Linked DNA regions of Diceros bicornis minor. The protein of the gene in region 1 purifies or fractionates together with the protein of each later gene. This does not show direct contact. Links are inferred from orthologs where the notes say so. Each region holds a gene or a part of one and is shown in the gene's direction. Other genes may lie near its edges.

Region 1 (8,031 bases):
GAGTTTTATCCCTGGACATTAGCTGGACAGTCACAAGATTCTCACGTTGTTTAGTTGCTTAATACCCCTGCAGACTAGAAGTGTAACATCTGGTGGTCTCTCAGAAACTAAGCCTGAGTAGATGGGCCAGTTTCTTCATCTGCAAACATGGAGGCGAGGAGTGGGAGAAAACTAGAGATAGCCTGAACATTCCACATGCTTAAAGAGGACAAAGGAAACTAAAGGTGCTACCTAGTAACTGTACAATTAATACATGAGCCAGGTAAATCAAAGAAAATGAAAAGCAACTCTAATCCTACCACCCAGAGGTAACCACTGTCACAACTTCTGTGTATGTTCTGTCAGATAGTCTTGTCTAAATAGCTATACAGACAGACACACTCTAAAATTCCCCCACAAAAATGGAATGGTAAATACATACTGTTTTGTAATCCTCTCCTTTTTAGAAACATGTTGTGAACATCGTTTTATATCTACCACAATAGTAGTATTCTTCAGTATCGATGTACCATATTTAAAAAAAAATTAATCTGTGGTTGGACATCTAAGTTGTTTGTATTTTTTCCCTATTGTAAATGACTCTATGATGAACATACTTAAAACCAAATCTTTTCTTATTTCCTTAGGATTGTAGGGGAGGAAGACAAATCCTCTACCCTCTAGGTCCTTCTGGCTGGGCTATGAATTAAATTCACGTGAGACAATAACAGAGAGAATCAAACAAAGCTTTATAACATGTATACATGGGAGAAACTCAGGAAAACTGAGCAACTCAGCCATCTAGCCAAAGCCACCACGTTAAATATCATCTTCAGCTAAAGGCAAAGGAGGATATTGGGGGTAGTGGTTTGGGATTTCAGAGGGGAGGAAGACAATTTACATGGAGATGGAAATGCAAATGTTTGTTAAACAAGTTTTGGTGGGCCAAAAATGGGCTTGTTGGTGCCTCTCTAAGACACCTATTTTACATTATAGTATGGCTGTCTTATGGTATTATCTCCTTCCTGGAACAGGCCTTCTATGTTAAATTCTTTTAGGCAGTTTGAGGGAAGGTCAAATGTTCTTCCTGAGTCTTTTGAGCCTTTATTGTCTTCAGCTCGAAATAATCCACATACCAGAGTGGCGCATCTGGGGCAGCCTGCCCTGAACCCCATCAGGATAAATTCCTATACAGATGAATACTGGTTCTGTAGCTCTTATTAGAACTTCTCCCTCCAGATGGGAGTCACATGAGTTGGTCTCTGAATTTCTTTCCCAGAACAGCAACTGAAGTGATTGTGGGAGACAAACAAAACACTATGAATTGAAACAATTTAGTCTCACTCTGCCAGGATGGAACATCTCCCAAATGCACTTCATACTTAAAACTAGCCTTTGAGTAGTCATGGTGGATTGTCATATTGAACAGTGTTGAATGGTTGCTCCAGCACCATCTTCTCACCCTCCCTACTGTGTGCCTGCCATGGGGTTTGGGAGAGGGATGACTGACATCCTCTCCAGCTCTTGGGGGAGGACTTTTTTGGGACATAATCCCATCCCCTTTACCTGTGATTGATTTCAGCTAGGCTCGTAATGTTGGTTTAATCACGACGAAGCTTAGGACTTGAGTCTTGTGATTGGTGAAGAGGCGTTTGTTGTCCTTCTGAATGAGGAAGCATATAGCTCCAGTTGCTGTTGTCAGTCTTCCAGTAACCACATGGTGAGATGCACACCCTGAGCAGGGTCCCTGGTGACACCAAGTTGCTGGATCTAGCTTGCCCTGAAGTTGGCATTACTGCTGGACTTGTAATTTACATGAGCCAGTACAGTCATGTGTTGCTTAACCATGGGGATACATTCTGAGAAATGTGTAGTTAGGCGATTTCATTGTTGTGCAAACATCATAGAGTGTACTTACCAAACCTAGATGGTATAGCCTACTACACAACTAGGATAAATGGTACTAATCTTATGGAATCATGTCATATATGTGGTTCATCATTATGTGGCACATAACTGTACATTCTAGTTGTTACTTGTGCCACTTTGAGTCGGGTTTTTTTTTGTTGCCTAATGAATACAACTGTCATAGGACAGAGAGGGTTTTTTTTTTTTTTTCGTGAGGAAGATTGGCCCTGAACTAACATCTGTGCCAGTCTTCCTCCATTTTGTATATGGGATGCCACCACAGCATGGCCAGATGAGCGGTGTGTAGGTCCACACCTAGGATCTGAACCTGTGAACTCTGGGCTGCCAAAGCGAAGCGCATTAACTTAACCACCATGATACTGGCTGGCCCTGGGCAGAGAGGTTCTAACACCAACCACCATCTACATTTATTTCTCTTTCCAGCAAATCCAGTCAATTTGCTTATTTTGTATGTTTCACCTATTTTATGACTTCAAAATAACAGCCTTTCATATGGCCTAGGTTAGTCACATCCCACACACTCCATCTTCCATCCCTGGACACAGGGATTCCCACATCTTTGCTCAGGCCCCGACCCCTCCCCTTCAAATCTGCCTTTCCAGCTGCCTGTTGGCCATTGCAGATTTTCACACCACCCCTCCACCTGAAGGTAGTCCTCACTGAACTCCTTTGCTCTGGTCTACTTTCCCCCCCTTCCCCCTCATACCCCAGCCCCTAATCCAAGAACAACCAGTTCTCTTTCCTGAGTCTGTGCATCCAAATATCCCAACCCTTGCTTTCATTCCCCAATCAAATCAATAATCAGTTCTTGTTATTCTACTTCAGAAATGTCTCTGGACTCACACCCTTCCCAACTAGTCTTCCTGCCATCTTTACACCTCCAGTTCTTCCTTTCTAACCCATCATCACCCTTGTCACAAGACTTAAGGTCCTGAATAACCAATGAACCAGTGTGATGCTGTCAACAACACCGCCCCTCCCCCCCCAATAAATCTCTGTTGGCAGCTGCCTGGCCCTTCAAAATCCAACCCCATACCATTATAACATGTGGAAAGATACCCTCAGTATGAGCTAGCCCAAGGGGTGTAACGATCAAAGAAAACAGCCTTGCTACCAAAAAGTTATTTCAAAAAAGCTAGTTCTTCCATTTTATTTTTCAAGAACTAGGAAGAGGATACACAGAGCATGGAAATTCTTCTTGAAGTCTATTTTCCCTTCCATTTCCCTCCCCACCCCCTTCCCACTTTCCATGTGCCTCCTTAAAAACGACTGATGCCCGATCTCTGGCATTCCCCTTTCCTCTTGATTCTATGCCATAGAAGCACAAATAAACCAATTTGACTAAGCAGTGTTTTTCTTAGAGAATGAGGAACGCAAAGAAATGGAGTGGGTCAAGCTAAAATCTTTATGGGGCAGTGGGAGAAAGAAAAGGCTGGAAACACTATGTGTTAATAGCTCTTGTTCTATGGCTACTTTGGATCATTTCCAGTAACAATCCCTGCCCCCCACTCCCACCAACACACATGAGGTTCTATGGCCATATAAAATTATTTGCTGTTTCCCGGCCACATCTGGAACTCCACACCTGTGCTGTTTCCTGTGCTGTAATACCTTCCGGGAAATGCATACTCTGCTGTGAAGTCTTCATAATATGCATGTCCCATAGCACGGTGTATGTATACCTGTATTAACAGTCCTTTGCATGTGTTGTATGAGGGTTCATATTCATCATAAGTTTCAGGAAAATAGGCATACAGTTTCCATGAGAATGTTAAGTGGATAGATATCAGACCCCCACCATCCAGATTATCCATTCTTGCCACCCCAGAACACTAACACCCGAAAATGCGTTTCATGAATAACAAAGGCAAGTCCATTCTCGCCTTAAAAATGCTGCCTCTGCAAGAAGTTGGAGGACATGCTACATTGCAGCAAAGGCAAGGGAAAAAGCCCATCTGTGAGAGGGAGCAGGGCAAGCATCAAATCTAGAGTTAAGAACAGTGCCTGGCACAAAACAGTGCCTGGAATATTTGTTGCTGAATGACATAGTCTACCTCTGTAACCTACTTCCCAGGAGCAAGATCCAGATAGAGGGCAAGAAGATGGGGATTGTTGAAAGTGGAAGATCATGCCGCCTCTTTCCCCTTTGAACAAGTAGAAGTTTTTTTTTTTACCATAGATTTTAAATTCAAGAATGTCAAGATGATACTGTCAGATTCAACCCAGGTCATAACTTGTGGGAACTTGAAACACAACTGACACATTTAAATGTGTCCTGTATAAAGAAGCATCAGATGGATTCTGATTTACATGTCGGCCAGGCTGACCAGTGAGCCTTTTAGGGCAGAACCCAGCCCCGTGCATAAGTGTAGTCCCAGATTGTTTCACACCGTAGATGCTCAAATCGCTATGGGATAAATCCTGGATGAGCCCACAGTCCTCATTTATTATGGTGGGGCTACTACTACCCGTAAGTTGTGAGGCTTAAATGGGATAAAAAATCAAGATATTTGCCTACCTCAGAGGTTTTAGAGCCGGGCCCTCCCACCTTGGCTGCAAATTTGAATCACCTAGCGAGTCTTAATAAATGCTGGGTCCCCTCTCGTATTAATTCTCTTTTACTTGGTCTGGGGTGCTGCCTGGCCAAGGGGTTTAAAAACAATCTCTCCAGGTGATTCTGCGGAGCAACCAGGACTGAGAACTACCTGTTTAGAGACTGTCACAGGGGGCTCCAGCTGGTCAGGACCTAAAGTTGCCGTTCCTTTTCGTCTTCCCTTCGTCTCTGAGGCCTCACCCCTACACCTATGACTGTCCATTCACCCGTATCTGCGAACTTCCGGGAAAACGGAAAAAAACTGCGGGCGAGCACACACACGTGTAGGCACGCCTTACCTACAGACTGGAGCGCGGCCTCAGAGTCCCGGCCGCCTGCCCTCCTCCAGCCCCGCGGCCCAGTCTCCGCATCCGGGTCCAGCCGCCCGCCGCTCGCGCCCGCGCCGCCTCCCTCCTCTCGCGAGGAAGTCCGGGCGCCGGAAGTGCCCGGACCGCGCGGCGGCGGCGGCAGCCGGCCGAGCAGGGAGAGAGGCTGCCCGGGCCGTGTCGGTTGCCGAGGGGATGTGACAGGTACCCCCGCGGTCGGGGCTCTCCGGGGAGGGCCGCGGGCGAGGGCGGCGGCGGGGTCCCCTGCTGGCCTCCGACTGGGGTGTTGTTGCAGGGCCGCCCCCATGTTGCGCTTTCCGACCTGCTTCCCGTCCTTCCGGGTGGTGGGAGAGAAGCAGCTGCCGCAGGAGATCATTTTCCTCGTCTGGTCACCCAAGCGGGACCTCATTGCCTTGGCCAACACTGCGGGCGAGGTGAGTGAGCCGGCGTGGAAACCCCGAGAAGAGGAGCGCGTCACAGACTGCCCCAGCCTCAGTTTCCCCTTCTCTGGACTTGCGGGCCACCTGTCTACCCCGCCCCTCCCTTCCGGCCAGCTGTAAACTTTCAGTGAAAGGATAAGGGACCGTATACGGGAAAAATAATTTATATGCCCATTTTCCGTATTTTATGGTGAAGACAACTCTTTTCGCACAGCTTAACATCATCGTACAATCCTGCCTCCCAGGTCTCTTTTAGTCATTTATTTGTTAAATGGGCTTTTTAAAAGCCCATGATGTGTCACTCCTGAGCTAGGCATAGTAGTAGATCCACAGACCATGCCCTAAGTTTGCTTACAGTTTAGTAGCAGAAGAAAAATGAATTATTGTCAGTGTGCAAATGTGCGTGCATGTGGCTGCCACAGAGGATATGTTTAAGAATCTGTATTCTGTTGTCCATATTTTATACTACGGGTTGGTTAGCCACATCCCATTTAAAATCCCTTTAAATTACACAGGGAGTGACGTTTTACTGAATTCCTAATGGAATGTGCATGAAGGTTGTCAGCGTTTCTAGTTCAGGTTATATTACGCAACATCAAGTATAACCCGGTTGTACCCAACTTTCTCGTAAGGGTTCTTGCTACCTGGCAGCAATTTTGTAAGGAACCTTCACCTGTGCATCTTTCCTCCTTTGGCCTTTTGGCAGATTTCCTGATAGTTATCTGGTCAGGTGAGAGTTGTGTTGGGTGCAGCCAAGCTTGGAAACTAGGTGGTAAGGAAAACTCAGCAGCCAGAGAAACTTAGCAGCCTGCAAAGCTGCGTCACTATGTTGACTTGTCCCCAGGTTATTGATGTCTCCTTTCTCAGGCCCTCCATCAAATCTTCTAGTCTCCCTCCTCTGCCAGGGTGCTTTGGAGCTCTGTCATGGCTCTAGAGGGGAGCACAGATAGTACAGCCACGGCAGTAGGAGGGAAGGGAGAGAATAGGGGCATCAGTGTGATCAGATAGATGTGTTGTGGGCACTTGTTGCTTCCATTTTCTCAGTGAAGAAGAAAGAGCACTATCTAGGAGTGAGGATGGAGAAGAAAATATTGGAAGTTTGAGGAGAAGGGAAAGGTATGGAAAAGCTGACAAAGCAAGTGGACTGGGGAAGCCTAATAAGATTACTGGTTAGTATTAGGAGCCACCCAAATTCAATGGTCTTGTAGTTTGAGGGAAAGCAGTGAGCGTGGTTGTATGTGCATCTTGTATTCTGTTCAGCTATGTGGGTGCAGGCATGGCTGGGTTTAACCAGGATTGTTTTGCAAGTTTGGTAAAGGAAGAGAGATGCAAGAGGGTTAAGTTATATGCAAGAGGAATTATTGTCATGATGAACCTTGGATTCTAACCTGATTAAGGAGGGAAATGAGGGCATGTGTTGGGTGAGAAACAATGAATAGGTGGTAGAATCAATAGGTCGTATGACATGGTGAGGTTGAAGAATTGGAGTTGGGTATTAGTAGTGATGAGCTGGAAAGATAGAGGTGGTGGATGGAAAGTGGGAAGTTTGAAACTGAGATTATGGTAACATTGTAGTTGTTGGTAATGACAAGGTCAAGGGCGTGACCCTGGAAGTGACTGAAGTGAGGTAGAAGATGTGATCATTGGAGGAGAGGTAGTTAAGAACTAAAAAGCCAGGATTTTGTAGTTCTTGAAATCACCAAGAATGATGATGAATAGTGTTGGAGAGAATGGAAGAGCCAGGAGTCCACATCTTCAGGGAATGAGGGGAATGGCTTAGGGGTCTGTAGACAGCTGCAGTTAACTGGGATAGCAGGTGGTATGGTCTGATTGCGTGTGATTCAAAATTAGAGGATTTTAGAGACGAAAAATCATCCAGAAATGGCGTCAAGCATCAAGGAGGAAACCTACTTCATGTCCTAGCCCAATGGTAGTCCAGGGGATGTGGGACGCAAAACAGCCACCACCTGAGAACGCTGCGAGAAAGCAGTGGCCTCAGGTGAGAAGCACAGTTCAGAGAAGAGAATGAAGGTATAGGAGATCTTGATGATACCAGACCATGAATTCTAGAGCACAGAGGAAGGGTTTCAGACATAGGAATGGCAGAGATGGGCTCAGGAAAGAGCATGGAGTCTTGGGGATGAGCGATTCCTTGGGAAGCTCGGCTTTCCTGTGGTGACTGGTGTAACCATGAGTGAAGGACGCTATACAGTAAGACAGGGAGTGGTGGTAGAGCTGTGAGTGTGGGGAACTAAGAAGGTATGGAGGGGTCTTCAGGAGCAATTCTGAGGCCTTTTCTTCCTTATTTTCAGTGGTTGTGTAGAGGATGGAGTAGGGGCAGTCTTATTTTTGAAGCACAAGGGGCTTCATCTTGACCTTCCAAGGTGGGAATTTACTCGTGTAGAAATGGGGGTTTAGATTGGCTAAGTGACTTGTCCAAGATCTATGGCCAGTGAGTGACACAGCTGAAATTAGATCCCAGTTGTCTGATTCCAAGTTCAGTGTTATTTGACTATATTACAACTACCTTTGTAGTGCTATTTATGTTATTTCTTTTTTGTTATCTTCTTCTTGGACAGACTTCTTAATAGGTAAGTTTCCTGTTGATGTAGAAGATAGGAAAGCGTATAGGGTGCAGGGTTAAATTAGACCTTCTTGTTTCAGCATTTCTTTGAAAATGTCTTAAGTTCATTCAGACACAGAATGAATTCTTCTTCTAATTTCTTCTGATAGCTAAATATTACACTTAAGAGGTGATAATTTA
Region 2 (7,654 bases), on another chromosome or scaffold:
GTGATGGTCACCAGCCTGCTCTATTCTGTCTCAGAGGGGGTCCAGACGGGCACATGTGTCTGCAAGCCCCTTCAGTTTTCTGCAGGTCAAAAGAGACTCTGCCAGCTTCCACTAGCTGTTCCACCAAATACACAATTAAGAGAACACACTTACACCTTGTTCCCCCCTTGATGAGAAAGACCGAGAGAAACACCAGGGGAATAGGCTGCAAAGTCAGAAGTGCTGAGTCTGGGTTTCTGAGAACCACAGCACCAGAAGGAAAGAACAGTGCAACCTCATCATCTGAAATCTGGCAGCGACATGAGGTGCCTGCCATCCCTCACCTCATGGCACAGGCAATCAATAGGCAGCTGCAGGCAGAGGGACTACTGCCCCCTGTCCTCCCACCTACCGAGTCAGAGAGGAAGGAGTTAGGATCAGTGGGAGAGAAATGGTACAGTAGCAGCCACCACCCCCTGAAGCACTAACTCCAAACCCACACCAGGATGCCAGATGCCCCCTCCTCAGGTCCCATGTCCCTCCCTCCCACCTGGGCCCACACTGAAGTTCTGGCTAGGCAAGGACTCCAACAGTGAGATGAATCAAACAGTTCCAGTTCTACACGCATTTCTATTTTATTATGGCAAAGGTGAAAACACCACCTTCTCCACAACAGCAATCAGTAAAATTTATCCCAAAAATAACTTGGTACAAAACAGGTCTGTTTCAGAATTAAAAAAAAACAAAACAAAACCAAAAAACAAAAAAAACCTTTACAAGAGTTTTAAATCCTATTTTAAAACATAAAAGAAACAAATCCATCATTGGCCACACAGCCCCAGTCTGCCACCCTCCTCCCGTCAGGGAGCGCACACGAGATGTCTGGGTCCTGTCCCATGCACGGATTTGCTGGTCTGTTTAACTGGTGTCCATCTGAAACACAGGTAAAAAGAGGTTCTCACTCAAAACAGGGTCCCACACACCAGTCGGGCTTTGGTTGGCCCCAGCCTGGCCCTCGTCTGGGACTTACTCTTGCGTTATAAGCATCCAGCTGGGCGTCCAACTCCTCTGCAGAAAGCTGCTGCTTTGAACTCCTGCCAGTGCCTCTGCCCCTGCCCCGGCTGCCTCCACGGGTGCCTCTCCGGGAGCCACCACCACCGAAACCTCCAGAACCACGGTTTCTAGTCATTCCACCTCTGTTTACACTAGCAAGGAAAAGGAGACTCATTTCCATAAATGGAGAGGCCTGAAAGATGAGCAGCCACACAGGACAGGCCAACCCCATCCCAGAGGCCCCACAACTCACCTCTGTGCAGGTCTCCGCTGTGTGTCAATCTGTGATGTGACAAGCTGAATGTTCATGGGGCGGCCTGTGGCAAAGAATACAAGAGGGCACATTCCAGTTAGAGGATTCTGAGACTTGCCCAGGTGGCACCATACCCTGATCTCCATGCAAGCACTGGAAAGGCGCTTTGTGTGCCTCAAAGGCTCCTGACAAGAGATATGGCCTGGAGATACTGCCGGGAGAATAAGACGGCACCAACGACAACCCCAGCAACACCTCGCTCTTTCTTAGTCCAGTTGAGGTGGGTGTCTGTTCAGGTGTCCAAGGTGCTCACGGGCAGAAAGATGTGGGTGATCTGATGGAAGAACTGGTACCTTTGTCTTTATGACTATAGCCCCGAACTCAGAGATGTACTATAGCAGTTCTGAGAAGACTTCACGGAAGTGAATCTTCCGGAAGGAGCTGAAGGAGGGGAGGGATGTAGCTTGCTGGATGGGGGTTCACAAGAGGTTGGCTCAGATGTGTGGGGCAGCACGAGAGGTGTCAGAATAGAAGAGAGAGACAAAGGGGTGAATACAAAGTGCCTTCAGCCAGAGAAGTAAGCCGTATTCCTGCATGGACAGGTGCCAGCCCCAAACTCCACAAACTAGATACAGCCCTCAGTCTTCCTGGGCTGACCCCAAACGCACCATCCAAAGGGACACCGTTGTACTGTTTCATAGCTTTCAGGGCATCTGCCTTCCGTTCAAAGTGCACATCAGCTGTTCCTAAACTGCGGCCAGAGCGATCATAGTGCACGGCCGCCTTCTTCAGAGTTCCAAATTCAGCAAAGAGTTCCTGGGAATTGGAAAGAGCAGCTGTTAGCAAAGCTGTTTTTCTTCTGGTGGCCCAGGGACAATCCCTGGAAGTGTGAGCTGCTTTGGGGATATTTCCCTGGGAGGCAGACTTACGTATGGGGGGCAGGGCAGTGGTAGCGGGAACTGGGGGAAGGGATGGGGCAGGTGGGACAGCAACTTCCAGGAGCAGCTGGGCCTGAGGGCTCCTGCCAACTTGGGGACCTGACACCTATACTGTGATGCAGGTAAAGGATCACAAAGCCCACCAGTGAAAGGCACGAGACTAAGTCACTATCTTCTTCGACAAAGGAAAATTTACAACACACTCAAGGACTGTGCCAAGAAACAGCAAAGGCCAACATCACAGAGCAAGGGATGCTATCTAACATGTGGACCAGCTCAAAGGGCCCGCTGATTCGGGAGCCCTGACCCAGCCCCTCCCCCAGGGCAGATTCTGGCTCACCTTTCCCTCTCCTCCTACTCAAGCCTGCCGCAAAGTCTGAAGTCAAGCGCTGCCATGGAAACTGCCCTGACCTCAGGCAGGCTGGGAGTTGGAGAGGGAACCCAGAGTGTGGGGCTACTCCGGCCGCAGGCACACAGCGGGAAGTGGAGTTCACCAAAAGCGGTTTCCAGTGGATGCCAGAAACCACCTTAAAAAAAGTGTTGAGACACTGTGAGTGCTCACCAGCCTTGCTCTGTCCTCCCACGGTAAAGTCAAACGCCTGGGCTCTGGGAAATTTAACCCAGGAAGGCCCAGTACCCTGACCCAGCCATCTCCAAGACTGACCCCCAAAATATTGTTACTAAACCAGAAAAGAAGTTTAAACGCGTTCGGAATTCAATCAAAAAAAAAAAAAAAAAAAAAAAAGGCTTCAACCAAAGATGGGTTTGAGAATCATGCCACTAACAAGACCCAGGGGGATGGTGATAAGTGAGACAACATGACACAAGTTCCTTATGAGACACAGGGCTCAAGGCAAACAGAGCTGGAAAGATGACCGGCACCATCCTGCTTCTGTGCTTTTCCAGTTCTACAAAAGAAAATCTTTCTCCTCCCAACAAATCATTAAAACAGGTACTAATTAAAGCAAGCAAGCAGCCTAGCTTTATCAGTAACACAGGAACGACTCATATCTAACCAGTCTTTTCCTGTTAGAAACTGGGAACCCCGGCAGAGGATTTCCACTCACAGAACACATCTTAGTAAGGAGCAGCAACTCCTTAGACCAAGCTGGGGGCCTGTCTCCCAACACAAACTGACCTACTTGTGGGACTTTCAACTCTGGCATGACCTCTGCTTTGCACTCCTGCCGCCCCTTACAGGGGACAGCCGCTAGCTCTTGGGTGCCTGGGAGGGCTCACTGTCTTAAGATGGGGGGGGACTTCAGGGCCACATCCCAAACAACACGACCGATTCCGTGCAGGGTGAACTGCTCACCGAGAAGCTCCAAACCCTTACCTGAATATCAGCGTCGGATACTCCAAAATCCAGATTTGACACCAGCAGTTTCCCACCCGTCTCCACGCCGGCACCACCCCCAAATCCGCTGTCGAAAAGGTCGTGTTGCCATTTGTCAGGAAGTTGTTTCGGCTGAAGGAAAAGAAAAACACCAGAACAGAAACAGACCCATTGAGTCTCACTCCAGGGCTCTCTCGCGCGCTCACGGCCACGGCAAGACCCTCTCCGATCGGAGCCCGGAGAAGAGAGCCCAGAGGACACTGCAGTCCTCCGCTTCCCGCCTGCGCGCGCTGGGCCGCAGCCGACCCCGCCGAGGCCCCATGCCCCGCAACTTCTCGGTTCCCTCCTACGAACGTTCCGCCGCCAGTGCGGCCGCGCCCTACACCCCCTCCGCCCCCGGCGCCACGAGGCCCGGCGCCCAGCCGAGACAAAAGGCCGGCAGGGTCTCCGCCTCCTAGGCCCGGCCGGCCGCGCGACCTCCCCGTCCAGCCCGGCGCCCGAGCCACCGGCCCGGCCCGGCCCGCTGTCCTCTCCGCCACGCGCCGCCCCGCCGCGGCCGGCCGGCCTCCGCACTCACCCTGCTGTAGGGCGCCGGCCGGTTCCTGCCGCCGCCGCCCGCAGCGCCGCGGGCGATGGCCGGCCGGTTCCGGATGGGCCCGCCGCCGCCTCGGTTCACTCGCGCGGCGGCCTGCGCACCGCCGCCACGGCCGCCCTGGGAGCCGGCCCGGCCGCGGCCCCGGCCCCCGCCGCGGCCGCCTCGCTGGCTTCGGTTCAGCTTAATGATGTCGTCCAGAGACATGTCCATTTTGTCGGCCATGGCGGGCGCGGAATCGGCCTCAGCTAGAGCCCGCGCGTCAGCACGCTGGAGCGTCACTTCCGGCGCCGCGCGGAGGCTTCCGGTGCCGCGTACTCGGAGCGGCCGCCGATTGGCTGCAGGCGGGCGGGGGCAGCGGGGCGGAGCGGCGCGTGCGCGATAGGACGCGAGGCTCGGCTAGCGCAGCTGCGAGGTGCTGGGAGCTGGCCCCGGTCGTTTTTGTACCTTCCCGCGCCGGCGGCGCTGCCAACGGAAGGCGGGCGGGGCGGCGCGCGATTCGCCGCGGAGGTGCGAGGGCGCGGCCGTTGGGGCGGGTCCGGGCACCGCCCTTCTCCCTTCCCGGGCGGCGGGGGGCGCGGGGCGGTGCGGCCGGGGTCGGGAGCCTCCCCGCCTCGGGCGAGTCCGGTGTGGGGCGCAGGACGCGCGCACTGGGTGGCCTTCCCGGGGAACTGGCGGGCGGTCGGTGTTCGTCTGTCACCACGGGTAGTCCGCGCGGCCCCCTGTTGTTACTACCGAAGCCAGAGTGCCCCTCGCGGGCGTCCGGGCGGAGCGTGCGGCCGACGCAGGTGCCCTAGATGAGTGGCCAGCCTCAGTCGCGGGGCTCCCGCTCTCCCAGGGGCAACCACAGCCCGGCCGCCCTCTCGGCGGCTGCCGGACTCTCAGGGCTCGGACGGCGAGTCCCGCGGGCGCAGACCCTCGGGCTCCGGGCAGCGCCTGTCCTTTGGTGCTGAAACGCTGAGCTCTGCAGACTAAATGTTGTCGGGTGCTCTTTTCGCTCGCCCGCAGGCTCCGCCGCCATGAAGGTGAAGATCAAGTGCTGGAACGGAGTGGCCACTTGGCTCTGGGTGGCCAACGACGAGAACTGTGGCATCTGCCGGATGGCCTTCAATGGCTGCTGCCCGGACTGTGAGTGTCCCCTGTGCCCGCTGCCTCTGAGCTCTGCCTGCTCGTCCGGCCTCGGCGTCTCCCCAGAAATATCTGCACGAAGTTCTTGGGTTTGGGTTTCCCTTTCCTCCAGAAAAGTTGACAGAAACAAGCCAGGCGGTTTGGGCCGTTATTTGTATAAAGACCCCATCAAAAGTTTTGTAAGAAAAAAATGGTGCAGGGCCGGCCCCCTGGCTTAGCGGTTAAGTGCCTGCGCTCCACTACTGGCGGCCCAGGTTCAGATCGCGGGCGTGCACCAACGCACCGCTTCTCTGGCCATGCTGAGGTCACGTCCCACATGCAGCAACTAGAAGGATGTGCAGCTATGACATACAACTATCTACTGGGGCTTTGGGGAGGAAAAAAAAAAAGAGGAGGATTGGCAATAGATGTTAGCTCAGAGCGGGTCTTCCTCAGCAAAAAAGAGGAGGATTAGCATGGATGTTAGCTCAGGGCTGATATCCCTCAAAAAAAAAAAACCCCCCCTCCCCCCAAATATGGTGCAGCTTTTTTTCATGATCAGACTTGGCTATGAAACACATGGGACAAAAAGATGTGTGAAAACTTTTTATTTGAAAATTCTTAACCAAACAAAAAAATGGAATGTTATAAGGACACCCCCCCCCCCAATCCGGCACATAGACTGACAATGGATAAGTAAGATGTTTTGGTATTTGTTTTATGTTTTAGCTGAATGGTTTTCAACTAAGGGCCAGCCCCGTGGCTCAACTAAATGATAATTGACATCTCACCCCACTCACTTCAGCTGCATCTCTAAATGTAACGCTGTTTTTACCCAGCACTGTTGTCACATCAGACAACATGACAGTTCCTTAGTGTCACTCCCCATTCTTAGTCCTTGTTCATATTTCTCCAGTTGTCCCCAAATGTCTTTTCATTCTTGGGTGGTGTGAGCCAGGACTGCACATCTGGTTGCTCTGTCCCTTAGCTATTTAATCTAGAACATCCTTTCTCTGCCTTTGTCGCTTTTTTTAAGATATCTGACTCTTAGAAAGTTGGTGTGTTGCCTTGCAGAATGCCTACTGTCAGCTTTTATCAGTTTCTTCTTTGTGAGGCCTTTGGATTGTTCCTTTGTTCCCAGTATGTTCTGTGAAGTAGAAAATATTTAATTATATATTTGTCAGAAGCAGATTTTTACACCTGTGAATTTAGTTTTCGGTCAGACCCAAGTGAACATGAAGCAGAACGGGGGTGACGGCTTTGCCTAGGGGGTGGTGCCCCAAGGAAAGTGGGCTTGGGGAGTGCTGCCGAGCTCCGTGCTGCCCCGGGGGTGACCAGGCCTGGTTTTGGGGGCGAGGTGAATGCCCAGAATAATCATAGGGCTTTGCTTCTTACAGTGAAATTCAAATCGTTGACTTTTAGTGCAAATACTATTTTATTCTAGGCTTAATGTTTACATCTGCCTTGGCTGAAAGGAAATCGCATCACCCAGGAGTTAATCCATCCTGATTTAATCAAACAGGCAGAATGTAATCTTAGGAAATAATTGATTGGCTCTACTTGGCCAGGTTTTGCTTAGTAGCAAATGAGAATAGCAAGGCACAAGATCTGTCTCATCTAATCTGTTTTAAATCTCCCTTCCTGAGGGTACAACAAAGGCTGTGGGAGCCTAAAGGGACAAGTGTTTGCAGTTTCCTAAGCAACAGATTGTTATTTTGTGAAAAGACAAGTTCTGGGAAGCATGTGACCTCAGCCCATTGTGGGCCAGTGCACTTGTGTGTTAAAGATGGCACCTGTGGGCCAGCACACGTACCATTCCAGCTGTGCCCAGGGCTGGGCGTCTCCACGTTTGCGGGCATGCTCAGGTTTTGTTGAAGTGGGTCCGTTGGCTGCAGAGAGTAGGAGGTTTGGAGTCTGATCTTCGGACCTGCTGGTTGTTAAGTTAGAGTGGGCCGATTGTAATATGCGAAGCGTTTGACAAGCCTAATAAGGTGCTTTCTATCCAGGTTAAGTGACATTGGGTTTCTGTTACTAAACTTGAACTCCTGTGAAAAATCCAGAGTGACTAAGACTGTAATAAATCTGCTCCATGTCCAGAGGGCTTTGGGAATAAAAGTCTTGTTAAGAGGTGTTTTAAATAAAGGACTTCTATTAAGACACTAGCAAGCTCTTGGTGAGTCACTGTCATTGTGAGTCACTGTCATCTCGCTCTTGTGCTCATCAGATGCCTCAGGCAGACGCTAGAATGAAGCAGCTCCTTTGTCCAAACGAGCCCTGCCACAAATGGACAGGGTGGCTTCGTTACCCCTCACAGTGGGCTCTTAGGGCACCCCCGCCCACCGGTGGGCTAGCTGGCTCTAGCTCATCGTTTCCCATCCTCTGTTTGTAAGGGACTC

Evidence for each region. Proteins that work in one complex are often made in the same cells at the same time.
Region 2: the proteins of ANAPC4 (region 1) and ANAPC11 purify together in Homo sapiens (affinity purification with mass spectrometry; 8 studies listed by BioGRID and IntAct, with this or other methods). This does not show direct contact. The link is inferred for Diceros bicornis minor from reciprocal best matches to the Homo sapiens genes ANAPC4 and ANAPC11.

What each region holds. Positions count from the first base shown.
Region 1 is NC_080747.1:20,485,843-20,493,873, forward strand, and holds the start of ANAPC4 (anaphase-promoting complex subunit 4), read left to right. Parts: upstream 1-4,952; 5' UTR 4,953-5,031; intron 5,032-5,122; 5' UTR 5,123-5,132; coding exon 5,133-5,261; intron 5,262-8,031. UniProt on the Homo sapiens protein: Component of the anaphase promoting complex/cyclosome (APC/C), a cell cycle-regulated E3 ubiquitin ligase that controls progression through mitosis and the G1 phase of the cell cycle.
Region 2 is NC_080757.1:61,218,780-61,226,433, forward strand, and holds the start of ANAPC11 (anaphase-promoting complex subunit 11), read left to right. Parts: upstream 1-4,556; 5' UTR 4,557-4,598; coding exon of another isoform or gene 4,599-4,822; intron 4,823-4,970; coding exon of another isoform or gene 4,971-5,170; coding exon 5,171-5,279; intron 5,280-7,654. Other genes in the region: ALYREF (THO complex subunit 4), read right to left, coding at 898-912, 1,010-1,184, 1,286-1,349, 1,954-2,101, 3,560-3,691, 4,137-4,550, 4,599-4,822, 4,971-5,172. UniProt on the Homo sapiens protein: Together with the cullin protein ANAPC2, constitutes the catalytic component of the anaphase promoting complex/cyclosome (APC/C), a cell cycle-regulated E3 ubiquitin ligase that controls progression through mitosis and the G1 phase of the cell cycle.